Linked DNA regions of Neodiprion lecontei. The protein of the gene in region 2 interacts with the protein of the main gene of each other region in a biochemical or structural test. Links are inferred from orthologs where the notes say so. Each region holds a gene or a part of one and is shown on either strand. Other genes may lie near its edges. The genes, in order: ubiquitin-conjugating enzyme E2 G1, ubiquitin-like modifier-activating enzyme 1, ubiquitin-conjugating enzyme E2 C and ubiquitin-conjugating enzyme E2 H.

Evidence for each region.
Region 1: of the proteins of ubiquitin-like modifier-activating enzyme 1 (region 2) and ubiquitin-conjugating enzyme E2 G1, one has a biochemical effect on the other in vitro, tested with the Homo sapiens proteins (3 studies listed by BioGRID, with this or other methods). The link is inferred for Neodiprion lecontei from reciprocal best matches to the Homo sapiens genes UBA1 and UBE2G1.
Region 3: of the proteins of ubiquitin-like modifier-activating enzyme 1 (region 2) and ubiquitin-conjugating enzyme E2 C, one has a biochemical effect on the other in vitro, tested with the Homo sapiens proteins (5 studies listed by BioGRID, with this or other methods). The link is inferred for Neodiprion lecontei from reciprocal best matches to the Homo sapiens genes UBA1 and UBE2C.
Region 4: of the proteins of ubiquitin-like modifier-activating enzyme 1 (region 2) and ubiquitin-conjugating enzyme E2 H, one has a biochemical effect on the other in vitro, tested with the Homo sapiens proteins (3 studies listed by BioGRID, with this or other methods). The link is inferred for Neodiprion lecontei from reciprocal best matches to the Homo sapiens genes UBA1 and UBE2H.

What each region holds. Positions count from the first base shown.
Region 1 is NC_060262.1:29,978,633-29,987,584, reverse strand, and holds ubiquitin-conjugating enzyme E2 G1, read right to left. Parts: upstream 6,568-8,952; 5' UTR 6,441-6,567; coding exon 6,395-6,440; intron 5,081-6,394; coding exon 4,978-5,080; intron 4,352-4,977; coding exon 4,254-4,351; intron 3,959-4,253; coding exon 3,780-3,958; intron 3,690-3,779; coding exon 3,609-3,689; 3' UTR 3,567-3,608; intron 2,909-3,566; 3' UTR 2,031-2,908; downstream 1-2,030. UniProt on the Homo sapiens protein: Accepts ubiquitin from the E1 complex and catalyzes its covalent attachment to other proteins. In vitro catalyzes 'Lys-48'-, as well as 'Lys-63'-linked polyubiquitination. May be involved in degradation of muscle-specific proteins.
Region 2 is NC_060264.1:982,760-991,964, forward strand, and holds ubiquitin-like modifier-activating enzyme 1, read left to right. Parts: upstream 1-3,085; 5' UTR 3,086-3,623; coding exon 3,624-6,776; 3' UTR 6,777-7,835; downstream 7,836-9,205. Other genes in the region: kinesin-like protein KIF12, read left to right, coding at 1-102, 231-381, 574-788, 1,055-1,499; DNA ligase 1, read left to right, coding at 8,587-8,813, 8,910-9,007. UniProt on the Homo sapiens protein: Catalyzes the first step in ubiquitin conjugation to mark cellular proteins for degradation through the ubiquitin-proteasome system.
Region 3 is NC_060262.1:40,788,612-40,795,449, forward strand, and holds ubiquitin-conjugating enzyme E2 C, read left to right. Parts: upstream 1-2,869; 5' UTR 2,870-2,981; coding exon 2,982-3,085; intron 3,086-3,288; coding exon 3,289-3,403; intron 3,404-3,953; coding exon 3,954-4,158; intron 4,159-4,345; coding exon 4,346-4,470; 3' UTR 4,471-5,052; downstream 5,053-6,838. Other genes in the region: kxDL motif-containing protein CG10681, read right to left, coding at 77-214, 439-638, 894-1,042; valacyclovir hydrolase, read left to right, coding at 5,897-6,004. UniProt on the Homo sapiens protein: Accepts ubiquitin from the E1 complex and catalyzes its covalent attachment to other proteins. In vitro catalyzes 'Lys-11'- and 'Lys-48'-linked polyubiquitination.
Region 4 is NC_060264.1:30,549,102-30,555,923, forward strand, and holds the start of ubiquitin-conjugating enzyme E2 H, read left to right. Parts: upstream 1-1,562; 5' UTR 1,563-2,130; intron 2,131-2,136; exon of another isoform or gene 2,137-2,775; 5' UTR 2,776-3,303; coding exon 3,304-3,356; intron 3,357-6,822. UniProt on the Homo sapiens protein: Accepts ubiquitin from the E1 complex and catalyzes its covalent attachment to other proteins. E2 ubiquitin conjugating enzyme that transfers ubiquitin to MAEA, a core component of the CTLH E3 ubiquitin-protein ligase complex.

The DNA.
Region 1 (8,952 bases), on a different chromosome or scaffold from region 2:
CATACAGTTGCAACGATTTGTTTAATTTCGATCTGTTCTCAGATCTCAAGTTACCGTCCTGCCATGTTCTATTTGTTACATCTACCGTGCCGGTAGTATTTGAGCAGACACAGAATTTGACAGACCCAGCAGTTATTCGCGATATTAGCTTGGGTTGAAACTTCTAATTTTCGTCATATCGTCTTCGGGTGCAAGATTGTTAAGGTGCCGGAAGGGCGCCGGCCAAGGATCGGAAGTGCGGATAACGACAAGTGACATAACTGGATTACAATCAGTGCTAGGTACGTAATATAAATATATATATACCTTACGTAAAGACGCGACCAACCGCGGTATAATCCTAATTGTAACTACAAATAGAAAGACATTCGACAATGCCAAAATCTGAAGATGCTGCGTGGGAGATCAGATCGCGGCCGAATGTTTCTTGCAAGTTTAACCCTTAAAGACGGCGTTCAGGACAGCATAATATTATATTACTTAGAAATCTTTTTGTAATAAAATTGCACCGCTTATCTTAGCAAGGCGGTGGTCTAATTAAACGAAACAACTTGTTCCTTATCAAAGTGTGTATGTACTTGGTTTTTGCGGTGCCGCAAAATCGTTGCATGAACTTAGAAACTCCGACCACATTATACATTAGTCTCATTCAAATAATCACTCGCGCTATGCGTGCAGATTTCTTCTGCAACGCAACCACATTATTCATACTCTTGTTCAACTAAATGACTATAACGAATTCATGTTCGGTCTCGAAATAATTCCTCGGAGGTAATCAAGCGATTGGTGAGCATATCGATCATTCAGTGAAATATTCGTTAAGTTAACTTTGTTTTTCCTACTGACTTGCGTCGAATAGCGTATACCTCCGTGTTTAGGAACATCGCTATTCGTTGTGAATCAATCCGTAGGTAGAGTGAGCGAATAGATTGTTTGTTATTTCACGTTGAAATTAATTGATGGGGACTTTTGACTTGCAATTAGAAAGTGACGTCATAGAAAAACCGATGCATGCTTGATTCCAATGCCGCGATTAAATTTAATTGACCTTTTTACTGCAGCCGTTCAACACTTGAAGATATGCTAGCCGATTAATCACCATGGGCTTTGCATATTTTCTTGATAATTTTGCAGCGTCTAATAACAATTTTAGACGTCAAAACGTCAGTCACATGGGTAAAATAAGAGCTTGGATATTTATACCTGTACGATTTGATCCGACGCTCATAGATCACTGTGATGTGCATAACGTGAGAACATTTTCTCAATCAGTAACACTTTGAGTTTTGACGCCGAACTTCGAACAGAAACTATATCAAAAATTTAACACCTAATATTTTTGTAAAATTTAAAAGCAGGTAATAATTTAAATTAGATAAAGGGTGTGATAAATATGTGGAATAAAAAATCCACAACAGGACGAACAAAGAACGTGCTCGTATTTAACACTCGCTAGCTAGTTGTAGGCTAGTTTATTGTTTATTCATAGATTTGTTACAAATCTTACAAGTGAATAATTTCACCGTTTTAAATCTTAGCTTCTGTTTCCAAGGATTTTCAATTCGATCACTCTTCAACAGTTCTTTTGCCGTAAAATCCGAACATTCTGCATGCAGTATTGGAATTCAGTAATTAACTCTTGATCGCAGTAAAATCAGCGTTACAATATGTAAGGAAGAGCCTACTTCGTTCCACTAGTTAACGGATTGATTAGATTTTATCTTGGACACGTCTAATTTTATCAATTTAGTCAAATCGGTGCTTTAACGATGTTATACATTCATCTCCACGGATCTTCTTAATTATAAAAACATTACTGGCTCTCTTTTTCAGTTCAGTTTATAGTCACGCCGATTCAATATTATAATTACAACATATACTTTCCTACTTTTCTACTACTTCAAACGACATAAGCACAGATCATTTTAAACCATTCGTAATAAATACCAGATTGTTTACGGCAATGTACAGAACGATAGCTGTATAATGTATAATAGAAAAAGGTAAAAAAAAGTGATAAGTCGTGAAAATTCATTGTTTTAAAATTTAATTGACAATATTATTATATATAGTTGGACAAAATTATTTCAATTTCAACCTAAGTTTTGTAGTAGAACCGCAAGTCGGAGAGGTGGGGAAGGATAAATGGCCACCATAGTGACGAAGAGCGAGTACAATGTTTCACAGCATGTACGTGTGCACTTAACATTAATTCAACTAATAATTACCATTATTATTGTTATTCATTATTATCATTACTCTAACTAGCGTTCGTTATTTTGGCAACTTACGGTTCGGCAAAAATTTATATCATATATGTATATATATATATATATACACACACACACACACACAGAGTATATATATATATATATATATATATATATATATATTGCAATCATTGCAATTATACGTCTGGTATCGGTAATTATAATGATATAAATGTAATTCACATTGTATTTTACTGGCTTACGTCAACGATTCTTGCTTCTTTGTTTTTTTTTTTTTTACGACTTTACAAAAATTTATTTATAATACGAAAGTAAGAAAATATGAAACGACGCTAAGGAATATTGTTGAGTGATAAACGTAAACATACTTTAAATTACAGAGTGCTGGGCAGGAGGGACAGGGGGGTTAAGTTTACAATCACTATTAATATTAGGGTATTATTGGTACAGATGATTTGTATTATGTATATTTGTAAATTAGTTCATCGTGTGAAAGGTGAGCTGTGTGTGTTTTCATGTTTTTCATGTCGATGGCTCGTACGTTGTTGATGGTTCGGCGACTCAACAGAGCTTAACGAGGTATCTCGCCCAGGTTTGCTCTAATCCGTATTCAGTGGCACTGTATTCCAATATCCGCATGATTCGCTTGGTTTTATGCCATACAGTGCGTGGTTTCCCTGTGGATATAACCAAATTCGTCAATCATTTTCAACTCTACTTCTTTTTCCACTTTTTATAGATCCAGCAGTCTGGGAAATGAACATATTTCACTAACTAATCAATAACGAGAACACTACAATATTATGCACGTTAAAATGAGGGACAAAACATTTCAGACGAATCATGTAAACTATTCAATACTTGACGTATCTTACGTTATGGTAAAATAATTCTGGGTGTTTAAATTAAAGGTATGTTATAAACAAAGGGTTTGTTCTTTTAACAAATTGGCAAGTTTCTTTTACTGCGAACGGATACTACGTACTGGAATGAAGAATTCTTGATCATAGTTTAAAATGCGTGGAAAGGATCTTGGAGATAAGTCCAGAATATTTGATGCTATACTACCCATTATTTCCTACAGACATGAAACATATGACGATAATAACAGTCCTGAAACTATGATTTTAATTTTACAACTTGAAGACCAAAATTAATTGTAGTCATAGAACAAAAATAATTTGGGTTATGGTAGACCTCAGAACAATCGTAACGTCGGGGAAATGTATAACGTGTTTAAGGCCATATGGTCGCATGTTTTTGTCTTGTGTTTGTTTCGTGCTTTTGATTTGATCTCATAGTAATTAATTTACTGTTAAAAATTATATGACATACCAGAATTAAATAAGTCTTTCCGTTTGAATATTCGTTCTTCCCCTACAAACACTCTTCTTGGCTTTTTCGAACACATCTTGCCACCTTTCGCTTGAACTCTGTATAACTTTCCCTCCACTCTTTCTGTAAACATTGACAAGTTTAATTATGAATCAAGTACTGTTTTATTAAATACAATATTAATATTTACACAGTGCAGAAAATATTACTCACAGCAGCATCTACATTTGCAGGACTTTCATCATTAGGATCAGCGAGCATGCTGATGACACTTATAAGAATTGTTTCAACTGTGTGAACAGGCAGCCATCTCTCTGATGCTTTCTCATAACCCCATTTATCATCGCCTGGCTCATGAAGGATCGATATGCACACATCGCCATTCTTTTCGACTGTTAAAAAACCAAGTTGAACTTAAAACTTGGAAAATGTTGAGTGTCTAATTGAATTCAATACTTTTGGAACTATTTAAAATCATTATTCTTTGTGTCCAAATACATTACAAGGATATCTATCTCAATTATAGTCAATTTCAGCGAGCAAGTTACATAGTTCCACAAACAGTTCAATTCAGTTTGGTTACTACTATACTCTTCGCAGCTTCATTACAAGTCAAAATTAATATGATACTATAAAGATACATTTTTTTTTATAACTGTATTAAAAATAAAAATCGAAACAACTTACTATTAGGGTGCCATATTTCTGTTATAAATTTCATCCTTGGCGGCCTCAGCGGATATTCTTTAGGAAATTGTAAATGCGCTTTGAAGAAACCACCCTCGCTGTAAAAAGAAATTTATTCACACATATTATGCACTTGAAATGAGAAAAGGATAAATGTTATTCATCTATTCTAACTCTTCCTTGCAATAAATTGCAGCAAGTGAACTACTTAAATTAGACTGATGCAATGTAAAAAATGTAGACTCCCTAGACTAGAACTAGGACTTGCCAATACAAGTACAAATATTTTTGAGACAACAATAGAGCTATTATGTATCTATTCATCTACCCGGTAAGGTAAGTACTATTTCAAGGAGTCGGTATAAATCATAAATAGATAAAAGATAAGAAATTACAAATAATTGAATGAAAAATAAGATACAGTTTTGCAGTTGAATAATCCTTGCTGCCTTATCTTGTTATTTCTTATCGAAGATCATAAATGCAGAAAAAAGGCATTTCAGAAATAATGTTTCAAAAATGTTTGAACTTAAAAACAATATTAATTTGATTATTCATAATACAGTGTATACAGCATGAGTGATTGATGAAAAAATTTCAAAATTTCAGCTTCTTGAAGTGGGAACTCGTACTTTCAAGCATCATTTCATTATAATTCACTGAACCAAATAACAATATGAGAAGATATAAAAGATTCCACAAAAAGAGTTACGTTAATCCTTACTATAATGTATCCGGAGGTCCAATGATGAGCACCTCCCATCGATATATGTCATTATCATCTATGAGGCCTGCTGAAAACCCTTCCACTGGGTTTTTATTTAATTCTGAAATTGGACAGAAAATTCCCAATAAACATAGGATTACATTTTATCGTCAGCTATAAAATTAATCAAACTCAAGCACAGATCAGCTTGTTTAAGACAACAAATGGATCGAATCGATGCGAGTTTGCGCCCATCTATTTAATTCCACATGATGCAGCTGCCTTCTTGCTCAGAGATGTGAATGCTGTTCAAATTTTGTCAAATATTATATCAAGTGAAAGGAAACATTTAACCGTCTCTTTTCAAGTGCTGTATGGATACATTGTAATGAATACAAAGGCAGCGTGCTTTACATTAATTCCCAATCAAGCAGGGCAATAAGTAAATCTACTGTCACACATAATGGGATTCAATTTGGTCCGATTGACCATTGATTAAATGATTTATATACATTAAGACCCTAGACGATCCGAATTTTAAATGTACGAAATGATAAACCTAAACAGATACCAGGTTCTTGGGCTTTAATAATAATAGAATATAATTACGAATATATAGTCAAGAGATAGTGTAAAGTGAGTACTATTAATCTATCTAAGATTGACAAAATTTTGTTTCTAGCAAATGACGGGTTGGATAAAATTTACAGTACTCGAAATAACTTATTATTCGTATTTTTATTTTTTCATATTCGTATGCAGTATCATATTTTCGGACGAATGAGTGAAATTACGACGAGTTGTCACAAAGGAAGTGAACGTTCAAAAGATTCTGTGGAGATGACTGCAGACTAATAATAATCAGAGGTATTCTCCAGAGATTGACCCAACCTTGTGAATTGGTCGACTCCTGTCACGATGCTTGTGGACCAGGAGAAGGGAGGAACAGGTAGAAGATAATAAAGAGAAAAAATTGTTTGTATTGGGAACTGATATTCGAGTCAACTATGGCGTTTTTTTTAAACGAAGAAGGTCGCGTCGTAATACGTGGAGCACGCAAAGGCTAAAAATAAGCAGACGGTAATCTTCGTGACGCATTTCACGTCAGGGCGCATGGCCTGGGCAGTTCTCTGGTAGAAAACGAAATGCTAGGTTAGCATTATTCACAGGGGTACACGGGTGTAACTTTATTGATTTTTGCGCTCAAGTTAACGCCGGGAATTTATAGGATCTGTGATCAAAATTTTGTGTACGTCGCGGTACTCGGTAGGATTTTAATTAAAGATATTCCCAGATAGACACAACTGACAAAGAAATGTGAATCGACCGTGTTGGCGAGGTCGACCGTTTCGTAGCTAAAAATGACCAAGCATTTTTTACGAACAATTCACCGTTCACGCCTTGCATTTATGTATTTAAATAATATTTAGGGTACCTGCTAACTGTTTTCTTAGTAGAAGCGTAGACTGTGGCTCTGACATTAATAAAAATTGTGTTAAATAAGACTAAAGTTGAAAACAATCACTCTTGCTTCACGGGAAAGATGGTACGTCGGAAGCGGTACTGCGCACAGGGTTGCCAGCTCGAACGGGCCTCGTCAGCATGCTAGCCACACTACAGACAATTATTACACTATACCGTTTGCCGAAGGCTTGGAGCATACACTGCTGTGGGTAGTCTCGCGTGCACAAAAAGTATGGCGGAGAAGTGAGAGAGAATAAGGATATGTTCACTACAGCCTACCTCTCTCGCTCTACACCTGGTTGGCCAATATGTTTCCTTCCAGCCAATCAGATGCAGAATGAGAGCACAGGCTGTAACGAGTAAATTCGTTCTCTCACGCATCATTTCGGCTGCAGTTTTGGCGAGGTTGACGCGTGGGTTGACGGCATGAGAGCTACCTTCGTTAGTATATGCTCGAAGTCGAAGGATCGCAAAGTCATCGCTAGTTGACGCCGGTATAGCGAGAAGTTGCCACGAGTAGATCACACACAGGTAGAGTTTTCTCCAAGCGTTCCGAAAACCGGCATCCCCATTAATCGAGCCGGTAACTACAGGTAACTTCTTTATTGATGATACCATCGATGCATCTTCCATGCACCATCGCATAAGTCCTTAAACACACCAAATCCCACGGGTAAATTTTACATCAACGAAGTGTTGTCTGCAGTGAAAATTGACTAATTAACTAGCCTCCTATTATAAAACTGTCCAAAAATACCTTATTCAGAGATTTTAAACTAAACATCTATTTTTTCAAGATCAAACGACGTATCCACAAATTCCCATCATGGACCTTATTGGATATAAGGCCCCCACTTTAGGAGCGATCGACTTGTTCATGAAAATTCGTCTAGAACATTTACATTTTAGCTGTCTCTAATTCAAGTGCTAATTCATTATGTTATGTATCCGTAAAAATTCTCCGTATGCAGGTTAAATCTAAACCGAACGCCTAGCGAGTTACATGTTTGCGTCAGCGTATGGGCGGATGCCTATTTGACAGGCGCAAAAATTTTATAATTTTCCAGGAGGACAAACTACATTATCTACAATAATCGGCTATAACTTGAAAATAGAAGAATTATTTAATTTGAAATGGAATTCGATTCGACACGCACTTCATGTAATCCATAACATCAATATTCACAATTATTCCAACAACTTTTCATTTGCTCTCTCGATCTCGAATTTTCGTAGGCATAGAATCGAAACGCTGTTTTAGCTGGTCGCAAGTGAAGCATCTGCGTTGGGTGGAGGAGCGGAATTGTTTTTCGAAAAGTATTCGGATGGAAAAAAATTCAGAGTAACTGCAATACATAACGGATGCGCTAATTCTGAACGAGATGAAATGGATGCTTCGTATATGAGACAGTATTTAACACTGCGTAGTGATTTAAAGACCTAAAAAGGTGATAGGGAGAGAAAGAACGACGCTTCTCAACACTTCGAGTGTATTTTAACACACATTTGAAAGATACGAGCGAAATTTTTCATCATCCAACTGTCGCAGAACGGCAGCGTTATCAGCCGACCCGTTCACTGAAGAATACATCTTCAGTCAACGGCTGACCATCGAAGGGCCTGGCCGCTTGAGTCTGGAATCGGCAGGAGAGATAAAGTGTGTATTTCTTGTATGAAATGTGAAACCTAAACTCATTATACATCATATCATATCATCATACATCATACATCATACATCATACATCATACATCATACATCATCATACATAGTATTAAAGGTCGAAACCAAAGTTTGGATGTCGGATGTTCAGAAAGTGACGTCACCAATTCAAAATCAGCCAGCCGAATTCCTCAGTCGGGAAACAACCGCGCAGTAGAGCGGACGGGTGAGAGTCGCGCTCCGCAAATTTCGTGTACCGGGTTCTCAACCTCCCGGATCCCGCGCTTCGGGTCCGCTACGCGGTGAAACTCGACTTCCAGGATAAGCGCTCCGTGGTTCCTCGTTCATGTTTACAATAAATTATTTCAATTCGTTTTTCGCGCAATCCCGAATTCGGTAGCTGTCAGTCCGCTAATAAAATTTCTCGACTTCCAGGATAAGCGCTCCGTGGTTCCTCGTTCATGTTTACAATAAATTATTTCAATTCGTTTTTCGCGCAATCCCGAATTCGGTGGCTGTCAGTCCGCTAATAAAATTTCTCGACTTCCAGGATAAGCGCTCCGTGGTTCCTCGTTCATGTTTACAATAAATTATTTCAATTCGTTTTTCGCGCAATCCCGAATTCGGTGGCTGTCAGTCCGCTAATAAAATTTCTCGACTTCCAGGATAAGCGCTCCGTGGTTCCTCGTTCATGTTTACAATAAATTATTTCAATTCGTTTTTCGCGCAATCCCGAATTCGGTAGCTGTCAGTCCGCTAATAAAATTTCTCGACTTCCAGGATAAGCGCTCCGTGGTTCCTCGTTCATGTTTACAATAAATTATTTCAATTCGTTTTTCGCGCAATCCCGAATTCGGTGGCTGTCAGTC
Region 2 (9,205 bases):
AAATGCCGAGCTTTACGTCACCAGGGAACAAGTAATGCGCGACCAGGAACAGGTCTGCAGGGAAAATGAGAGGCTTTTGAAAAAACTTGAGGATGTTAATTCGTGAGTGAAAATTTACGGTTTTTCGGGAAGTTGAAAATCGTCGTTCCACCTACCGTTCGTTTCCGTAATCATACGTATTGTTTGGCCCGTTTATTTTCGCCGTATTTCAAAGCACGGATAATTTTCAGCGTCTGTTGTCGTTCGCCTATTATTCCGGCTCGGCCCAATTACTCGGCGGAGTTGTCGAGTAGCGTTAACGGCGATTACGTGCCTGGAGCTGCAAACGTCTGGACGAATCCTAATTTGGACCCTAATCAAGCGACGTTTACGACTTCCAAGGTATATTCTCTATTGCTAGAAAATAGCATAACATAGGAGTAAAAACGTGTTTTCATAAATTAGTGCCACTTGTTTTTAAACTAGAGATGTATTACAAAGAACTGTCTCAGAAGCCACTGAAACCCCTCGTATCTGCATGTTATAGTCGATTAATCATTACCGCGTAGCGAATGTTAAATTCTTTCACTTCAGGACAATACCGGTGGAGAAGTAACGTCTGGCGGCTCGGTTCGCGGAATGCCTGAAAAAGTATTGAAAGAATTGGACAAGCGACGAATCGGAGGAAGTTTTAATAACATCCTAGAGGCGTACAAGGACAAAAGTCATCACAGGAGAAACAACTCTTGGGATAATGGAAATGTGGCTAATAGTCCGGATCAAACCTCGTCTCCTGTCGACCCTAGCCAGTAAGAACTAAGACGTCTCATCTATAAGTAGTAACGCCAGTTTCCAAGTACGCATAAAGTAATTCAGAAAATCAATACAGACTATTAAAAATAAAAAAAAAAAGGACAAACACAATACGAGCATGAAATATACTTCAAGCTCAACTTTATGCACTGTGCCTGTGGTATAAACCAATGAACTTAAGTTTCTCATTAAGCTGTTGTAATAAGTACCAGTATGCCCGACGATATTCTCTCAAGTCTGATTTCGTTCCCCCTGATTACAGTAACAGAAAAGGTGCAACCCTGCGAAGAACGTCGACAGTGCCGGAAGAAAGGAGCTTAGCGATGTCAAATTTCGATGATAACCATCCGCCGTTGAAGAGCCATTCTTTGAACGACGACACTTCTACTCCAGACTCTGTTTTAAGTGGGCCGATCCTGGAAGGTAACAATTTGGCTCCGGGTACCGCTGATTCCGTTGCTCCAACCGCGGCATTTCCTGTTATAGCTTCACGTACATCATCTCCATTCACTTCCCCGGAATTAGACGACGGTATTGAAACTTCGAACGTTTCCTCGCGTGGATCAAGACCGCGACAAGAAATCCCTGGCTCGGCGGGTACTAAGGTCGCTAATGGTTTGCCCGCACATCGCGTTTTTGGGAGTCTCGTTTCGCTAGATGGTGACGATCCACATTTTTTGTCTACCTCGCTAACTAATAAGCATTAGGTATAGAAAGGAAATTATCCGCATAACTTTAGTCGCAATTTGGTACGATATTTTACTTGAACAGTATAAATTATATAACATATTTAAAAAGGGATGATAATTATGCATAAAGAGTACTATTTGTTTATTTATGTACTTATTTGAATGATATTAACAGGATTGCGAAGAACGCAAGTTATGACGATAAATTTACGTTTTTGGATAAAACGATGAAACAACTACTCTTCCAAATCAAATCGCAATATCTTCAAAATAAAATAAAAATATATATATAAAATCACACAGGCAAATTAAAATGGTAGTGACGCACTGAATTCAGTTTGCGCAAACTTCATTGTGAAGTTACTGCAATTCGAGTTGGAACGAGAAGAATATTCTTCAGGCAGTGGAAAAAAACTGTATACAATGAAGTCTAATGGGCAGGCTCAAACTTGACGATAATTATCAAATGTATATTATATTTTAGCGTCATTTACCCACATATTAGATAACTGAATATAACATAGTGAGAGAGTATATTGATTATACCATAATTCTCAAACAGTGTGTTTTGCAACAAGAGATATTTTTACCCTGTGTGCAGAAGTACGTATTTGTGGTGTGCTGTAAACCGATGAAATAATTAAGGAAATGGTATAGCAGACCATTTACCTCTAATTTCTTACGTTTTGAAGAACGTAAATGTAAAGCTAACCCGGTAGTTGACTAATTATTGTAAAAGATTGAATCGTTGATAATGGAGTGCGGTATTTATAATACAGTGTAGGTGTGGCTTACATACGTAATTAAAATGCAGAAGGTTTGTTGTGAAATATTGTGGTTGTCGTCAGTTTTCTTTACTCCGCACCGTATATTACTCAGAATCTTGTATTTTTTATAATTTTCATTTTACTAAACAGTAGAGCAAATAAGAAGGCAGCTTCCTCAGAGAACAGCAATTCAAATTGAATGGCGGCAAGTTCGTCCGTACAACAGTATGTTAATAGACGGTCGACTCGTTGTTTCAAAGGCATTGATCTACCGATTCGTCATGGTTATGTGATTGTTCCGCAACTCTACCGTTAAGTATTTGAAAAGGGGCGAATAAATAAAAAATTTGAAAAAAAAACGTTCGCCATATCTCGAGTCGTTGTATATTTGTCAGTCGACGAGCAGTCACTTGACATTACTTATATTGAGAACGAATAAAAACTGGCAGAAATATGAAGCATCTGCCATACTCGCAGTTGTGCGAATTGGGGTCCGAATCATAACAGAAATCCTAAAGTTGAAAATATCCTATTGATTTATGTATTAAATTTCAAATCAGTGATTTAATCTCTGGAAGTCCGTAGGTACGCTCGCCGTTGACGAGGTGTATAAAAATTGCTAGTCCTGCGGACTTTAGCGTGCGTGCACGATGAGCTGAAGGGCGTTGGAAAAAATAGCAGCATTCTGCTATACCGACTCTACATCGGATCCCACAAGACGGGTCGGTAAGTACAGGCCACTAGAATTGACCCCAAACTCTATCAGACCCGATAAATTATTACGAGAAATAACTCTGCGCTAGCATTCTCCGTCTATCTTCAGTTGAACGTAGTCGTTGACGGAGGAATTTACTGTAAAAGTTGACGGTACGGTTCAAGTTTGGTAAGACGGCGCAGTAGTCACTTAGAATGACGAATCAAAATTTCGTTCGTGTAGTTACGGACGAAGATGGAATCACCTGTTCTACTTTTGTCCAGACTGCAGGGTTGCGATAACTCGATATCGAGAAGGCAGTGGGTGAATCGGCGGCCGAGGAGCGAAGAAAGAACGAGAAATCATTCCTGTATGGTTGGTTGTTCATCTTGTGCGTGCGTCAGGGCTAGAGACCCCAATCCTAGTGACGAATAGTCTTTGTCTTAACGTGAAGCAGGTAAATCGAAATACAATCGTGCACGTTGTCGATCGAGGAAAGAAATCAACGCGGCGAACGAGGGAAAGGGCTGGAAGAGGGAAGAGCGAAGAGAGGGTGGTGCGGAAGGACGTCGTAGAGAGGAGAGGAGAGGAGACGTGTTGCGCGTGAAGCGTAGGGCTTATCAGTGCAAGCGGACGAGGAAAACAATCGACAGATATATAAAACTGCTTCCTTGAAGTCCGATGTCTAGTGCTGAGGTGGTGGAGAGCTCCGTTGACCCCCCAGCCAAGAAGCGACGCGTTGCTGCTGCGACTACGGGAGGAGCCGAGAACCCCACGGCGATCGTAGAGATGGCGAAAAATGGCTCGACTTCCCGCGCACCGGCCGAAATCGACGAGGGACTTTACTCCCGTCAGCTGTACGTCCTCGGGCACGATGCCATGCGCCGAATGGCGTCTTCGGACGTTCTGATATCGGGCCTCGGCGGCCTGGGTGTAGAAATTGCGAAGAATGTTATCCTCGGCGGCGTAAAGTCCGTGACCTTGCACGACGACACCGTCTGTCAAATAACCGACCTCGGCTCTCAGTTTTACCTGACCGAGTCTGACGTTGGAAAGAATCGCGCCGAGGCTTGCAGCTACCATTTATCCGAGCTGAATAATTACGTCCCGACTCGTCACTATGCCGGCCCCTTGTCCAAGGAATATATTAAAAATTTCAAGGTCATTGTCCTCACAAACACATCACTTTCCGAGCAACTACGCATATCTGAAATAACCCACGCCAATAATATCGCTCTGATCATCGCCGAGACTCGTGGTCTGTTCTCCCAAGTCTTCTGCGACTTCGGCCCTTCTTTCACCGTCGTAGATACCAACGGTGAACCTCCGATCAGCGCCATGGTAGCCAGTATATCCAGGGACGTCGAGGGTATTGTGACCTGCCTCGACGACAGCAGGCACGGCATGGAGGATGGAGATTACGTCACCTTTTCCGAAATCCAAGGCACCACGGAGCTCAACGGCTGTGAACCCAAGAAGATCAAGGTGCTCGGCCCGTACACGTTCAGCATCGGAGATACCACAAAGTACTCGGAGTACATTAGAGGCGGTATTGTGACTCAGGTGAAAATGCCAAAAACATTGGAATTCAAGCCACTCAAAGTGGCTCTGAAGGAGCCGGAGTTCCTCATCACTGATTTTGGCAAGTTTGACTATCCGGAACAACTGCATCTTGCCTTTACCACACTGCACAAATACATTGAGACTAAAGGACGCCTTCCTCGCCCTTGGAATCAAGAAGATGCCCAGGAATTTGTAGCTGTTGCTAAATCGGTGAAGGAAGATGGTGGAAACGACATTGAGATTAACGTTGAGCTGCTAGAAACTTTTGCCAAAGTTTCCGCCGGAGATTTGAATCCCATGAATGCAACGATCGGAGGTGTAGTTGCTCAAGAAGTCATGAAAGCTTGCTCCGGAAAGTTTTCCCCAATTTTCCAGTGGCTCTACTTCGACGCCATCGAATGCCTGCCCGCTGATAAGTCGGAATTATCAGAGGAGGATGCCTGTCCAACCGGGACTCGTTACGATTCTCAAGTTGCCGTGTTTGGGAGAAAATTCCAATCGAAAATTGGGGCGCTCAAGTACTTTGTCGTTGGAGCTGGCGCAATTGGCTGTGAATTGCTAAAGAATTTTGCCATGATGGGTGTTGGTGCGGAAAATGGCTGCGTCACCGTGACTGATATGGACTTAATTGAAAAATCCAACTTGAATAGACAATTTTTGTTCAGACCTACGGACGTTCAAAGATCCAAGGCTTCTACCGCTGCACGAGTAATTAAAGGCATGAATCCTAACATGAAGGTGATTGCCCACGAGAATAGAGTTGGACCAGAGACTGAGAAAACTTACAACGACGAGTTCTTTGAAGTACTCGATGGAGTCGCCAATGCCTTGGACAATGTGGATGCCAGAATTTACATGGACCGAAGATGTGTGTATTACCGAAAACCACTGCTTGAATCCGGAACCCTGGGAACCAAGGGAAACACTCAAGTTGTTGTGCCGTTCCTAACGGAGTCTTACAGTTCGTCTCAAGACCCTCCGGAGAAGAGCATCCCAATTTGTACTTTAAAGAATTTTCCGAATGCCATTGAACACACTTTGCAGTGGGCCAGAGACACCTTCGAAGGACTATTCAAACAGGCTGCGGAGAGCGCAGCTCAGCACATCTCCGATCCTCTATTTATCGAGAGGACTCTGAAGCTGCCTGGTGTTCAGCCCTTGGAAGTCCTGGAAGCTGTTAAAACAGCTTTAATAGACGAGAGACCAAGATCTTTTACGGACTGTGTAGCGTGGGCTCGCTGCCACTGGCAAGAACAGTACAGCAACCAAATTAGACAGCTGTTGTTCAACTTCCCCCCTGACCAAGTGACCACCAGCGGTCAACCGTTTTGGTCAGGTCCCAAACGATGCCCGGTACCACTGACATTCGATTTGAATGATCCCTTGCATTTGGACTATATCATTGCCACGGCAAATTTGAAAGCAGCAGTTTATGGGATATCCCCTATCCGCAACCGCCATGAAATTGCAAGCATTGTATCGCAAATCAAAGTACCAGACTTTGTACCCAAGTCAGGTGTGAAAATCGCAGAGACTGATTCTCAGGTTCAGGTTTCCAACGGAAGTGGAAATGTGGATCACGATAGGCTGAACCAGCTGCAAGAAGAGCTGGCAAACGCCGAAGGACTCGACGGACTCGTCATTCACCCACAAGAGTTTGAGAAGGACGATGACACCAACTTCCATATCGACTTCATTGTAGCAGCCTCAAATCTTCGTGCAGCAAACTACAAAATCCCACAGGCGGATAGGCATAAAAGCAAGTTGATTGCTGGGAAAATTATACCTGCTATTGCAACAACAACATCCGTCGTTGCCGGACTCGTATGCCTCGAACTTATCAAGCTAGCCCGAGGTGTTACAGACCTATCGATATACAAGAACGGATTCGTCAATCTTGCTCTACCTTTCTTTGGATTTTCCGAGCCGATTGCTGCTCCAAAATTGAAGTATTACGATACGGAATGGACTTTGTGGGACCGCTTTGAAGTAAAGGGAGAATTAACTCTGAAAGAATTCTTGGATTACTTCAAAGAAAAGCATAATCTTGAGGTCACAATGTTATCACAGGGAGTTTGTATGCTCTATTCATTTTTCATGGCAAAAGCAAAGTGCCAAGAGAGAATGGGCTTGCCTATGTCGGAGGTAGTCAAAAAGGTTTCTAAGAAGAAACTCGAGCCTCATGTACGTGCTTTGGTTTTTGAACTCTGCTGCAACGATAGTGATGGCAACGACGTTGAGGTTCCCTACGTACGTTACACACTGCCCTGACTCAGCGACTATACTTCATAATATAGGAAATATCTACTTAACTGATTAGTTGTAGTGATTTCTACAAATTTCTATTTTAAAATACGATACAGGAAAAATATTATTAACCGTTTGACCCCACACATATTTCTCCCACGGATTGTAATGCAAATTTCATTTTGTTTGGCCTCCGCTTTCTCGCGTAATCCTTATTAGCTATTGCTAGTTGCAGGAATTCTCTCATGATTTCTTACCAGTGTCAAACGAAAAGAATTAGAGTAAAAGGAACGTAAAATTTCGTAGTGCTTAACAAATTACTGAATCTGTGAAATCAGAAATTAACAACAATAAAAACTTTTTAGTTAACTTTTTTGCCAAAACATGTGATTTGTGGGTAAGAAAACTTGGAGGATGTTTCACACACTGTATTTGTCGAGTGCAAATTGATAAATTAGGTTTAAAGAAAGATGTTTGGTACAGAAAAATGTTAGCGAATTACACGAAAGATACATGTCGAATAATATTGAATAGCTGAATTGCAAACTGTATCTTGCCATCATCGTTTGTCACTGATGGTTGTGGCCAATAGTGTAAGATGATTGTAGTAGTTTTTATAGAATTCAATTGATTCTTTTGCTGTGAAATCGCCGTCATCATATCTCTATCTTATTTTAAAAAGTTATGAGCGATAAAATACTAACGATTTAATTTATCCGCTTCATAAAATCTTTTTCAAAAACAATGAATAATAATTAATATTGGCTTCAAGACTGTTTGTTGTTACGAGATATACTGCATTTAAATTTGTAAAATATCTTTCTGAGAAGTTTCGAGAATGGGAAAAGAGGAGAAAAATAATCAACTTCTTTTAGACCATATAATAGTGGAAAAATACAAAAAAATAAAATATTGCGAAGTAAAAATGAAAAAAAATAAATAAAAAAAAACCAAGTAATGGAAAATATTTTGTTTATTCTAGGATAACGCGGATATTTATTGTATTATTTGATCCATGATAAATAAATAGATGTGTTTGGATTTCACGAAAATACGAAATATAAGTATGAAAATAACGTGCAATTTCTGTTTTGTTATGTTCTTCAACTCCCTTATCATTTATTCGAACAATCGTCTGGTGAAGAATATGCGCAAGACTGCTGGGATTATAACTTATGACTCATAAGACGATTGCGATTAAAAGAAAAACCTGCCTCAGATGACTTATACCTATGTAGTCATAAGTATGTAGTGATTAACTCGTAGCTAGAAATATGTGTATTATATATTTTCGAGGTAGGGGGATGCCGATTGTGACGTCACGGCGTTGATTCAAGCCTCCAAGCTGAAGACGGAATCGTAAAAATACTTTGACGATTAATAAGTTATTTTTGTAAATAATGAATCACATGATTTCTTCGGTTAATATGATTATTATTCACCGATTGTAGCCGAAAACAAAATCAAAAATTGGCTTATCGGAAGTCAAGGTTAGGATCAGTGTTGACAAGCATCAACAGTGGTTCCATGGTTGGGTAGTTGAGGTTAGGTATTAAAAACGGCGCGAAAATGGCGCAAAAGTCTATCACGTGAGTTGATAATGCATATGTTTCATTAATAACACGCCAGAAAATGGTGTGAATAAACGAATGATTACCGATTCATTATAATATGTACTCTGGTCGATGATATTTTTTGATTTCAGTTCATTTTTCACGAAACGTGTGCCGAAAATTGATACGAATGATCTGGAGTCAGAGCTAAGGTATGCTTTTGTACTACCAACAATGTAAAAATCCTCCTAAATTGAATATATTTAGATATAATTAAGAATATGCTCAAGTTTAACGTGATTTTCACGCTGTTTAAATCTCGTACCATTATCCTCGAGCAACCGGTTATCTCGTTAACACGACTGCTAGATAGTAACGGTGTATCGTGTTCTTCATTCAATTGGTTACATATCGGTAATAGTTTGTCCAAGAAGAAAGATGACGACGACAGTCCTTCAGTTGCTAAAAGGAAACGAGTGGACAGTTCTAATGGCACTGAATCTATAAGGTAATATGACAGTAAATGAATTACGATTATTATCCGAGCTACACTGTTTCAAAAATTGTTCATGGACTGAAAATTGTTTACTTAATCTTTTCGCAGCCCGCCACCTGCGAAAAAAATCAGTACTAGTGTCAACGATGCACCATCTACCTCATCGTCACAAAAATCTCCTGGATCAATTCAGCGTAGACAAATAGGTACGATATGTATAGATGTGTTTATGACTTTAAGTATCCTCTCTTTCTTCTAGTCAACTTTACTAGACTTTGTAGTTTTGTTTTGGAGTGATTCGATTCAATTTTACTTTCTACATCCCAATGTGAAATTCCTTGAATTACAGCTCCAGTTAATTTCAAAGGTAATACACTGCATCCAGAAATAGTAAAGAAACTAGA
Region 3 (6,838 bases), on a different chromosome or scaffold from region 2:
AACGATGATAATAATTGTATTAGATTATATACACGTGAGTTAGTAAGGTGTCGTTATTTGAGGTGCGCATCGTTACCGTCTGAGTCTGGATCTCCATCGGTAACATGACTGTCCACGGGCAAAGGTAAAGGTAATATTTCAGGCTGAAGAGGCGGTGGACCTGGCACAATGTCTTCGACGATAACTTCCTCTGCTAGGCTACTCCTTACAGCCTCTATCACACGACATATAAAAGAATTGGGCAAGTATAACCTAAGTAAATTGTAATTTGAGTAATTTAATTTGATGTAACATGTAATTTATTTTTTTATTGGTATGTACGAATTCTTGATTCGAGTTCATTCTCTGTTTCGTTCCTTGAACCAGATTATAATAACAAACAACACTATGGGTCAAATATTGCTAAGAATGTATTAAAGATCGAAGGACATAACTAACCATTAAACGCCTGCGGATATTGTTGGCTCAGTTTCGTCTTGACCACTCGAATCCGCTTGAAAATGTGATCCAAATCTCGTTTCATCTCTGCTAGCAATGTCGTGTGTTTCTTAAACTCGGCTCCCGCAGTCTTCAAACGATTTATCGATAGCTGATTGCAATTTGTTAGCATTTCGTTCGTTTTCTCGAATCTTTGGAGCCTGAAAATTGAATCAAAATAATTATCACTAAGGTATTTAATAAAAATAAAAAAATCGGCAACGAAGCACTCGAAATTAAGTATAAGAAATTTTCTTTCAACCAATAATTTTTAGAAATCAGTGACGTATTTCAAATTTTGCGCGTTATGCGGACGTTTGGCTAAAAAATCGATAAGCGGGGGGGATAAATACACAACATAACCTCATGCCCCGATCGAGCTTATACTTAAATAAATATTTATCCCATATCCTCACATTTGTTTCTGAGCACGAATCATGGATTCTACATCTTGTTGATCTACGATGCCAGCTAGACCTTGTACGAAAACCTCCGGGGCTGTGTAATTTTGAAAACACTCAAAACTTCCAGCGTCGGACTCGGGCGTCCCTTGGATGGCCGCCATTTTTACAACACGCTTGACAGTTCGACTACTCCGTGAGCTCAACCCACCGTTCCACTGCTCTGAGACAATACGCCTGGCGCAGCAGCCGACTGCAATTCGGTAAACACCATCTGCGTCATGCGCAGTCGCTATTGCGCAGCTGTATTCGACAATCGAGACTCGCGTGGCGATATCTGTTTTCGAACGAATGGATAGGGTCGCGTTTCAACGCTTCAAAATTTGAATTGCCCTGTGAAAAATGATTCGCCTGATTCGATCAATGCATTTTGCATTGTCTTACATCTGATTATGAGGACTGCATCCACAATGTGTGACTCGAACAAGAAAATATTTTGTGAAATATTCCCGAAATGCAAATAGGGCTGGACGTGGCTCCACTTTCTAAAAAAAGTTATTGGTAGTGAGGACTCAAGAGCCAAGAGACGACTAGGTCCAGCAGTTTTCTGGTAAATGGTAGAGAGTGCAAATCGATTGTGTGCCCTGAAAGATCCAGCAATTCAGCGGCGTTAGTGTTTTACGACAGTGAGTAAATTTTACTTGTTCCATTTTTTCAACTATATTCAAGTGTTTATTAATAATATAAAGGTTTCTTGAGTTACGTATATAAATACGGCGTCATTTATGCACATATACTTCGAAGTATACGGTATGGCAGAAAGGAGCGCAAAGGAAGTACGTTATTATTTACCTAATCGAGAGTTTCAAAATTTTCATGAGAAAATACAGATACTTTATACGATAGTTTAGACTTCTGTTCAGTTCTGACGCTCGGGTCTCATCTGGCATCAAAGTGACCTTTCACGCTTTTCTGGAAAAAATATTGTATAGAGCACGCCCGTATAGTGTTTTTAGCTCGAAAAATGATTTTAGTACTCACGTTTGTTCCGTCTTTAGCTCGTACTTAAATCACCATCTTTATCCTAAAAACACCCACATACCTACTTGAAAAAAAAAAAAAACGCTGGCTGCTCTAACATTTGTAGTGAGGTTGAACGGAGCACATATAATTCATTCAAGTTTAATAACTGCACTGTCAGTAAGTGTCACAGTAAAGATTTGTGTTAGTATTATTATGTTTTCAGTAATTTTTCGATTCGGTGATCAGGAAATTAAGGACAAGTTTTTTAGCACTTTTCGGAAAGGTTTGAAACATACTGTCTATGAGCTAATTTTTCATTCTTGAGCAATGAGTTGAATCTTTCAGTTCTTAAGTTCACGAAAGGTAAGAAATAAAATAGAACCTTATAGAAATGAGGAGTAATGCGCTAACGTCGTTTCCTAAGTTTGTAATTCGCTGAATCTCAACAAGTATGGCCGTGACTCGTGTCAAAATACGGTTACTCAGTGGCCATGCTCTGTATTATCCATTGCTTTCGTGATGGTAAGTCGAGCCTGTTACCGACACGCGTTTACGACTGAAAATTAGTTTCAAAAATTTATTTCTTGTTAGAGGACGCTAGTACTGATCACTGTAACCGTTCACCGGTGATTTACTGTAGGAACCGCCGAGTATGTGGAAGAAATATGTAATACGTGTTATATTAATTTGTTTTCAGTCCGTCCTATAAATAAGTACGAAATAAAGGTTTACAGTTTTGATTTATTTGTACAAAAAATACGATATAACGATTTATTTTCATAATTCGCGGAAGGAAGTCAAACTACTATCCATATTTACAACAAAGCCCGTGTTTTTACTTCAGAAAATTCCATTCTGGATGAAACTAAAATCAAAATACAAATTATTAATATACAAACTCAATAATCTATATGGGATTTATGTTGATTAATAGTTGTTTTGACTTTCGATGTATTTAAGAACGGATAATAACATGGGCGCATTCAAATTTTCACTGTTGACTGTTGTGCTTGTGTCGGTTTTCGGTTGGTAGACAAAAGGAATTCTTTATCGTATTAGCGGATCTGGTATAGTTGGGAAATGGCACAGAATATAAACCCGTTCTACTCGTCTCAAAGTACGCCTAACAAAGCTAAGGAGGAAAAGCAGAACGTCCCAAAAGACAATCATGCAGTGAGCAAAAGGTAGGTACAATCTCTACCTCAATTTTCCCAGCCCTCGCGCAGTATCGACATTCGGTCAAACGGAATTCAATTACTTACGTACACACTTGGTATGATCAAACTGGGGATTCCACCGCGTTTTTCAGCCCCATAACCAAACTTTACTCCCATTATTTCCAAATCCCTCACTCACGCCAAATGATATGCTCGCGTTTATTTCACAGGCTTCAAAAGGAACTCCTAGTCCTGATGACCAGTACTGAAAAAAGTGTATCTGCCTTTCCAGACGGTGAGAACCTTTTCAAGTGGATCGGAACCATAACTGGCCCACGAGACACGGTAAGGTATTCTTGTACCTCACACACAGTTTTTGTCAAGATAAAATCTCTTCGAGTAAAAAATTTAAAACCAATGTACGAGGCAATGGTGCTTCGAAAAAATTATTTCCAGACTTTACGCTCCTTACACGATTCCCGGAAAGTTAGTCTGCTCGATCATTCTGTGTTTCGAGATATTTTGTATACTGTTCAACGTGTCTTGTGACAATCTAGAGATAACCCAGTAGCTGGAGGTCTAATTGCGAAGTTGATTGATCGCTAAGCTCGATTGAAAAATAAATTCAAAAGTATTATATATTATGAATTGTTGTCCAAAGTCAGGCATGGTACAAAGCGTGAGGCCATTCATTTACAAATTGAATGAAAGATAGAAAAGAATAGCTTATCAGAATTAAATTGACAATAGGAAATTTCCAATTAGTTTTCAATGCTTTCCTATGATTGTGATGTTTGAATCAAGGTAAATATTATCGTACAAAGTCCTGTTTTGTTGGTTTAATGCGCAATACTGCAGTAACGGAGTAATGTATATAATCTAATGTAATAAACAGGTATATGTGGGGCTGACGTACAAGCTGACACTGGAGTTCCCACACAGTTATCCGTACAGTGCTCCGGTGGTGCGCTTTGCTACCCCCTGCTTTCATCCAAACGTCGATTCAGCCGGTAACATCTGTCTGGATATATTGAAAGACAAATGGAGTGCGTTGTATGATGTTCGTACCATACTTCTATCTATACAATCTTTGCTAGGGGGTAAGTGTTTCAAATTATAGTCATTGATTTGTTGCATCCTCGTTTTACAGATAATAGGTCTGTAAAATCTATACCAAATATGAAGTATGTTTTTTTGTTTCAATTTATAAACTGTCTGAGCTTTCTAGAAATATATTTAATTACGTTCGCATGAATAATTTGTCTTTCCTTGGTTTGTTTTCTGTAGAGCCGAACAATGAAAGTCCACTGAATCCTCAGGCCGCTGAATTGTGGCCGAATCAAACGGAGTACAAGAAACATTTGCACGAAGAATATCGTAAAGCTCCCAGTCATGCCAATCAGGACTCATGATAAACCTACTCTTCCACACTCCTTTATCGCTCTATTACCACTATCGTAATTCTCAGTACAGTTAAAATACACGTACAATTGAGGCATGCGAGAAACACGCATTATTATGACGAATATGTACCTACGACCTTTTTTTTTTTTTTGTTTTCGCTACCCTAACTTTACTTTAGTAGACATACATACGAATGTTGGTCACGTTTTTGACGTAATAATAAAATTGTAATATGTAATCGAAACCTCTTCAAAGAACAAATTAAAACTTTGTGATTGTTAATAATTCACACCTCTACGAGGTTTCTAGTAATATAGTGTGATTTACTTTCGCGTAAAGTGAGCATGTATACAAATTCATTTATATAGGGGACTGATCTCAAATACACGCCGTCTACATTCATAATTTTATTATTTGTTTGATTTTGAATAAAAACAAACGTTTATTTATTTTATATATGTAATAATAAATATAAATATCTAATATCTTGGTACAACAAGGCGCTGACGTATATAACGTTTACATTTGTGGATCATTTTCAATTGGTTTATTATTGTGTAATGCTAAAATAAATATTTTAAGACCATGCATATACTTTCACTTCATTTTTCTATTGTTGAAGCAAATTATGATGATTTGTCGATGTATGTACTCAAATTCTATGGTTTCATATTGCTTTGAATTTTCTGCAGTATGTAAATTCCAGAGATTCGGATTTGAATAAAATTAAATATTCAAATTTCGGAAAACTATACGTTGTTAGTAAACAACGGCAAATTTTATACGTTCATCTTGTGATATTTTACTTATTTGACTTTTACAGACTCCGCGTGATTAACTATTGTCTTACATGTGGATGAGAAATAATTTAACCAAAATAAGTATCACTACAGAATTCAGTAGCTGAATAATTCCGTTACATTAAAATATCGGGGCTAGCAGTGATCATATAAAGCCCCCAAAAATTTTAAAACATCGTAAACAGTGAAAAAATTAATTGGAAATAGCGTGGAAAAAATTCTCCGAAGAATTATTCTAGCATTTATTTTCTTTGTCACTTAATTTTTCGTACCGACATATAACGGTCACAGCCGCTAATTCTAAATTTAAAAATATAAATATGGAAAGGTGATGTTTTGACCGGCTTATGATTCCTTCTTTTCATTAGAAAGGAAAGTTACTTAAACGTTTAAAATTATCATTGACAGTAATTTACAAAATATATTTAATATCTGCATGAATATAAAAAAGATTTTAAAAATTAAACTCGAATATTTTTGTGCGCGAGCTCGCGTGGCGCGATATTAAAAGTAAAAACGCACAAAATCAAGTGAATAGTTCGATACGAAATTTTTTTTAGTATACTACAGTAGGCAGTATCGTATAGTTATTGGTGTATCAGTTTAATCCAGCTGCGTTAATTAGCAGTAGGATATGCTGTCATCTGTGGTGAAGCAAGTCGTGAATGCATTCGTTAAAAAAATACCTAGCAACAAGCTAATATTTACTTCAACGATGAGAAACATGTCAACGAATTTTGAGGTATGGTAAGGCGAGAAAAAACATGAAATACGGAGAGGTTATGTATGACGATATTATTCCATAGACATATAAGAATAGACCGCGTGACCGGGCTGAGAAGTTGGTAGCGGAATAGAAAGAGAAAGTTGCATACGGGACCGCTCTGTTTTCGTCTAGTCGCGCATGCGCGAACACGTGTAACACTGCGAGGCCAACTTTTACAAGGTCAAAGCCAAAGAATACGCACGCAGAACAATAATCGCACGATTTTTAAAGGACAATAATTTTTTTTTTAAGTATTTTCAAATTATTTATAAGTATGTAATAACCAAAGTCAAATGAGTCAAAAAGAATATTCGTGCAAGATAAAATAATATTTTTATATGTTATGAAAATATAACATGTTTTTACATATTGTTTTAAGTATAATAATATTCAACGTTTTATTACAGCATATGATCATACAGTATGTACTTGTGTGCATTATTCATGTTTGTTACCTAATAAAAATGATGAATAGCATTTTACGATTTAATATTCAATTATTTAATTTCAATGTTTTATTGGTATTATTCTTATTTTTAAATTATAACTTCTAATTTTTGTTTTATGTACAATATATAAGAACTTCCATCCCTCCATTCATTTTATATTTCATTCTTACTAAAAAAAACGCTGAGCGCGCATGCGCGATTAGATAAGGATAGAGGGGTCCTATATGCAGCTTTCTCTTTCTATTGCGCTATCACATTCACGAACGGGCCACCTCCGTTACCCCCGCGGTCTATTCTTATATGTCTATGATCATCCCACTGGCATGTTTACCACGTGAATCAAACATCTTCCCAATTCTTA
Region 4 (6,822 bases), about 30 Mb from region 2:
CAGAAAAAAAATGAGGAAGAAAACGCGTTTTTAATAATTTGAAGACAGAACTTTTAGTATTGTGTCATTACGTGCGTGTTTGATAACGATACTAGCAATTGTCATAATTGAATTGAATTCTGTTACATACATTCTGTTAATACATTTAAAATCTGTAAAAAAAAAATGGACGAAACTCATATTTCATAGTTAATTCACAATTTGTAAAATATTTCATTTCGGAAACGACCATATATGTATCGTATGTTTTGTAATATATTTTTCTTTCATCCTTGATAAAATGGAGGAAAAGAAGAAAAACGAAGCTATTAAATATCCGAATTATGAAATTTTGTAGTCTTGTAATTTACGTAAATTAACGTCAACCGTTCGACTAACACACGATGGGTTAGGTTAATTTATATTCTCTACCGGTAGAGTAAACGAAGTGACTTGAAGTGACAAATTAAAAGAACATCTAGCACTTCAATGATTCCGTACATTGGCTGTTCGGCGTTGGGCAACAGAAATATTGCCAATAATAATTACAAAACTTGTTTTGTGTTTCAAAGACCGCAAAAGACTATTAGTGTACGGCCTAAAAATATTACCTTAGTATAGCATTGGATTCCGAGCGCTGTCAACGATCCAAGTCGAAACTAATCGAAATAACGCTTCTCGGCGTGGGTTCTATTATTTGCTATCAATGGTATGAAAACTGATGAAAACCGAGCAAAAGTCTGAAGTGCGGTAAAAAATCCAGGATTTTTACGGAGAAATAAAATGTCCGATAGTCCTGAGACTGTTGGCCGTCAGCCGTATCTAACTAGGAGAACCTGATAAATACAAGGGGGCTATATTTAAATTGCAATTCATCATTCCAAACCAATTATCCGTTATTCCGAAATACGCTACAGGGTATTACGTCTATTAGGTTTACGGGTGGTAGGTTCGTTATAGCTTTTGCCCAACAGCCACCAATTTCTAGAAAATAATAGGGAATATTCGTGGGATTTGTTCGTACCCGTAATAGCTACATAGGATGTTACTGCACATGAGGAGTTCTGAAGGTAGCTTGCGTATACAGAGAGTGTAGCGGAGGAGTGAGAGAGAAAGAGGTATATGTTTGTTATAATCTATCTCTCTCGCTCCACACCTGATTGGCCGATACGTTTTCTCTAAGCCAATCAAAAGCAGAGTGAGAGACGCAGAGTAACCCTACACACGCCCTAGTATATATCTATCTCTCACTACTTCCGCTGTATTTTTCGCGAGATCGATGGGATGATCAGCTCTCTCCAGTAGTATATGCTCTAAGGTGGAGAATTCCTTCCCACCTGCTGGCAGCTGCTGGCGCCACCTTTCAAAACAAGTTTTGAAGAGAGGAGAGAGAAAAAGGACAGATACATGCAATCTGCGGATGGTGTGCGTGTGTTTGTGTGTGTGGTACACAAGCAGCCCACGATACTGCATGGATACATAGGTATGTCAACGTAGGAGTGCGCAGCGTGTTCGCGCGACAAAGAGCTACACGACCCCGTCGATTTGGAGAGGGATGGAGGCGCGCGGTGGTGGGATGCTAGGTGAAACAGTCAGTCAGATGCGCCAAGTCAGAGGGCTGACAGGTCGCGGAGTGCGAGTGTGAGAGCGAAAACGATGAGAAAACTGTAGTAGAGTTCTGGAATATGGTATATGTGCGACAGGCGAACTAGAAAGAAAATAAGACGAACAGGTTCGAAGTGCAGTAAAATTGTGTTGAAATCGAACTGGGTCGGGAAGGCATAATAAAGAAGAGCCCGTAGCGAATTTTGAAAAACCTCGCCTGCATACATAATAACTAAGGGAAAAACGGAGCGCGTATATGTGTATGCATAGATCGTCGCGTCGTCGTCGTGCATCGTGTGTAACATACATACGAACGTACACCGTACGTACGTCGGGTTAAAGAAAATCAGCCCACCAATCAATCCTCGTCGAAATGATTATCTAGCATTAGCGTAAACTCGTCGTTCTCCTGTGAGGGTTGCAGTGGAGTTTGGTGACAAAGAGGAATCGTTCGGTTTTACGCTACGTGCGGACTGACGGTTTTTTCAATAACCTAGGCCAGCTAGCTGGCTAGCCACTTCGATAATTACGTGGATCTCGTTGTCGGTAAGGGAGATCGCTTCTTTCTTCGATAGTGTTTTCTTTTCACAAAAAAAAAACAAGAAAGAAAAAATCACGTACACATATCTTCTTTCCGATAAATAGTATAGATAGTGAGGTATACATAACGCGACAACAAAGGAACGTCAACGAATCTCAATCGCTGTTGGTATCCTCTGGCTGCGCATAGGTTTTAAAATATACGCGTGCATACATTTGATGTATACATACATTAACTAACTCTACCCACACATGAATTACACATGAAACTCGGACGTGTTTTGTTTCTGGCTACGCAGCTGCTCGATTCTTTGTCTCCCTCTTTCTCCGTCTATCTATCCTTTTCTCGCTCACAATCAGCGGATCACCCTGCGTGAATTTACTTGCATTGTCGATCGTTTTCCCCGAGTCGCTTCGTCATCTTTAATTTTCTTTGCTTTAATTCCAATTCTCAATTTTAATCATTCTTCTCTCTTATCTACTTGGCTTCTGCGTCGCGACGTGTTTTTATACTCCTTAGTTCCCCTCCTCACCGCCTTACTTCACATCCCACCCCCCACTTCTTCGCCCACTCGTAGAACCGACCGCCCATGTGTATAAAGTTGTGATGACCGCAAGGTCTGCTGCAATTTCATGATTTCATCAAACCAGGTCGTCCTACCTTAGTTAATTAAACGACGAGAGGGTGATCAATTGTCCACCAAAGTGTGATTCAGTGTGCTCGGATTATAACAATTCACAAATTTACAACGTCAATGACAGTTCGGAACAACGTGAAGAATAAAAATAAGTGAAATAACCTAAAGTTCAGTGTGCTGCTGCGGGTTTTCGGAAAATCTGGCGAACCTGATTATTGAAATATTGCTAACAGTAGTGGAGGTGAAAAATACCTAAAGAATATATTTCTTTTTATCCGTCTAATCGTGTAGACAGTGTTAATGTTACGCCGAACAGACTGGAGGAGAAATATAATCCCCCCGATCGTGTTTACCGTCATCGTCGCTGTCACATAAGCAGACCCAGCACTCGATCGGCAAGCCGATCTACCGATACGATAAAAGTTTTGGATATTTATTTATTTATATTTTAATTTCTATTTATTTTAGTACATTTTTTTCCCCTTCGTGTTTTGGTTGTCGTCGTTGTTGTTGTTGTTGTTGTCACTATTAAACAAGAAACATGTCGTCACCAAGCGCTGGAAAACGACGTATGGACACCGATGTCATCAAATTGTATCCTTGACTCATAAAACATTGCCAGTATACATGATGCATAATATGTAACATACTGTAGAAAATAATAATTATTATTGACACACGTGTTATAAATTGCGATACACCAGACGTTGTTAGAGAATCCGATAAGTCATTCATTCGACGTTTCGTCAGTAACGCGTCCATCCGCATGCATCCACGTACCTTTACACATGCATACATACATAATACCTATGTGTAAAATAAATTATTCATTTTAACCATGCTCCGACCTCTCGTATATCCTTTCATACTTCCAATCACCATCGTCCTTCCTTTCTAATCGTCTTCGTTTTCAATGCGTGTAATTTCGTTCAAAATTTTCTCCAATTTCATCATCATTCACTCATGTTTCCTAACCAGTTTACATGCCCGTCGATATTAGGGGGCCCCAGTTGTTACGCCCCTGGTGCATCCCCTCCTCAACGCCGTCGCTAGTTCTCCATCCCTCCTTTTCTGTCTTTCTCCGTCTACCGCACAGCTGTTTTTAACAACCAGCTGATTGCTGTACACACGAACATGTATAATACGTGCCTCTTGTACGTGCACGCGTTTAAAAATTTTTATCACTTCAGAGGTCAGAAAATCGAGAGTAGTAAGAATAAGAAAACACAAATTCGACGTAATTTCTTGCAGGATGCATAATTTTTACAATTTGCAGATAGTTTTTAAAATCCTTGTTTCTTTTGGAACGAAGTTCCTTATCGCTCGTTCACCGTAGGGGCTAGGCGGAAAAAAACGACACCAAAAAACCGACACTTTTTGGCTATAGTGCTCGTTTGCTATAGTGCGCGCGATCTCCCTCTCTCTCTCTCTCTCTCTATTCCAGCGTGTGCGCGCGCTCTCTCTCTCTGTCTCAGCGCTTGGGGTGGGAGACGGCAGCAGCGGTCTCTCTCACTCACAGCGCACGACTATACTTCGCCCCTCTTTCTCTCTCCTACAGCGTACAACTATACTTTGGGCCGCAGCGCGCTCTCTCACAGCGTACGTCTATACTTTGCCTCTCTTTCTTTTTTTTTTTTCTTTTTTTCTGGCGTATTCCAAAAACTTTCTCTTTTCCCCCGTTCTCTAGCCTATTGAAAGTTTTCTCATTTTCAATTCTACGCGAGCGATTCAACTTTCATTTTATTTTCAACCTTTTCCGCCAAACCATGTTTTCGCGATAGTCTTCATTCTGTTTGTTTCGTCATTCTATCACTTTTTGCTTTGCTCTCTGCCATTTTGAAATCGATTCTCAGTTTTTTTTTTCTCTCTTTCACTACTGTTCGCGAAACTGGCGGCTGCGCTTTTACCCATCTCGTAACACGAATGCAGAGTGTATGTATGTATGTATATATGTTCAGGTAGATGATATTATACGGTCATACAGCTGTTCTTAAACAGCTGATTGAGCGGCTAGAATGTACATAATAAATATAACGCGCGCTAAAAGGAAGACGGCATATTAACCCTTGGAGTTACAGATTATTGTGCCGAGTCAACATTTGTAACAAGACAGTATTATATGTTTTTGGGATCGCTGATTACGAATCTGAAATTAGATTTCACAAATTCAAGATGGCGGAGCCAATATGGCGGCCTAAAATTTCAAATTTGACAGAATCCAGTTCAAAAAACTATGCAGGAGTCTTCGGGGTCGCTGATTAGATTCGTGGTACTGAATTTTCGAAATCTGGTTTCACATTCGTAATTAGCGACTCCAAAAACCCCGGGACAGAGTTTTTTTCTCCGGATTCTATTGAGTTTGAAATTTTCATTCGCCATATTGGATCAGCCATTTTGAATCTTTTAAATACAATTACAGATTCGTAATTAGCGACCCCAAATCTTATACTTTATGTTAAACATGTATATGTGTAGAAGGATGTTTCTTAGAAATCAATTATTCCTTCAGTTTTCAATATTTTTTTCAATCAATTTATTTCTAATAATAATAACTTACATTGTGTCGCAATAATTACTCTCGAGAATTGAAAACCTATTGGTATACTATTAGAAATAGTAAAAAACCGCAAAGAAACATGTTTTCAAAGTTCTCTAAATATACAAAAAATGGATATAAAATAGGTGGTAAGAATACTTACCACTACGACTCAAAGAATCAATTCGCGGTCGTCGTCGTCGTTGTTTTAGCACTTTGTCTAACGCAACGGAGATTTTCGTTAGCTTCTTTCCACAGTTTTCTCTGCACTCTAAGCTATATCATATGTATATGTTTATATATGCCTTCTGTTTACGAAGTCTCTGCCCCCGCTTTTCCCTCCTTCTCCCACTTCCACCCTCGTTCGTCGACCCTCTGCACATTCATCGCCATATAATGTGTTCGGTTATCATTATTGTTGTTATTATTATTACCTTATTCCATTTTATTTTCTCTTGTCGTCTTTCTTGGGTTTTTTATTTTATTTATTTTTTTTTTGTTTTATTCTTTTTTCTGTTTTCGCTCGTATATATTCGGGGTATGCTTCAACGTGCAGGTTTCTCGCTCCGCAAAGATCAATAACGGTTCTACAATTTTACACGTCGAATCGTTTTCTCTGCCTGTTCTTCAAGCCAGTTACCTCGATTTTGGATGGGGCACGACTTATGCTAGTTCCGCGAGGTAGCAAAAAACGAAACATAACAACACTTCCCTTGCATAATGCGTGCGGTGATGTCTGCGGCAGATTTAACAGTTCTTATTTATTCATTGAATTATTTATTTTCTTCTTTCAATTATCAACACCTCGCGTACATGCAGTTCAACCGTGTTATGTTTAGTATAATTATTAAAGGAATAGGCAAACAGTCGCAATGTGTACAAACATGTAACGTATCATGTCATTTGGCAATTTTAAATCAATAAACCGAACTTACGTTTATTTTTTTCGAATAACTTTTACGGTATACACGTACGCATGTATATTATACACGTGATAACTACACGACGTGTTATATACCCTTAACTATGATACGTCAACACTTCTTTATCGACATTCTGCGGTACGCGATTTTTAAAATACGCTAAAACGCTGGGGTAGTCGATCATTATTGTTCGTTATTATTGTACAACGATATGAAACAACTTTTCTTGCGGTCCTTGAGACAAGAGAGTTTTTCATACTTCCGAGAAAATATTTTATTATTTTACTTTCCGTTTTTTCTTCAAGCTTTATATGTATAAACATATTTTGACTCACAGAATCAAATGTTAAAATCGCGAGTTTAGTTTCCGGTGAAAAATGAATCGATAATTCGATGGTTTCGGAGTTAGCAAAGAAAATATATAATAATTCACCCCGCTTGTCCTCCTGTCCACCCTTGTCGCACTCACAACATCAATCATTATTTATACGCTATACCCATCGGAAAGATATCGTCATTCTGAGTTTGAGAAACGCTCAAGTTTTTCATTTTCACAAACGTATATCAATTCGATGTGACCCCCGCGCTGTCGCGGGTCAAG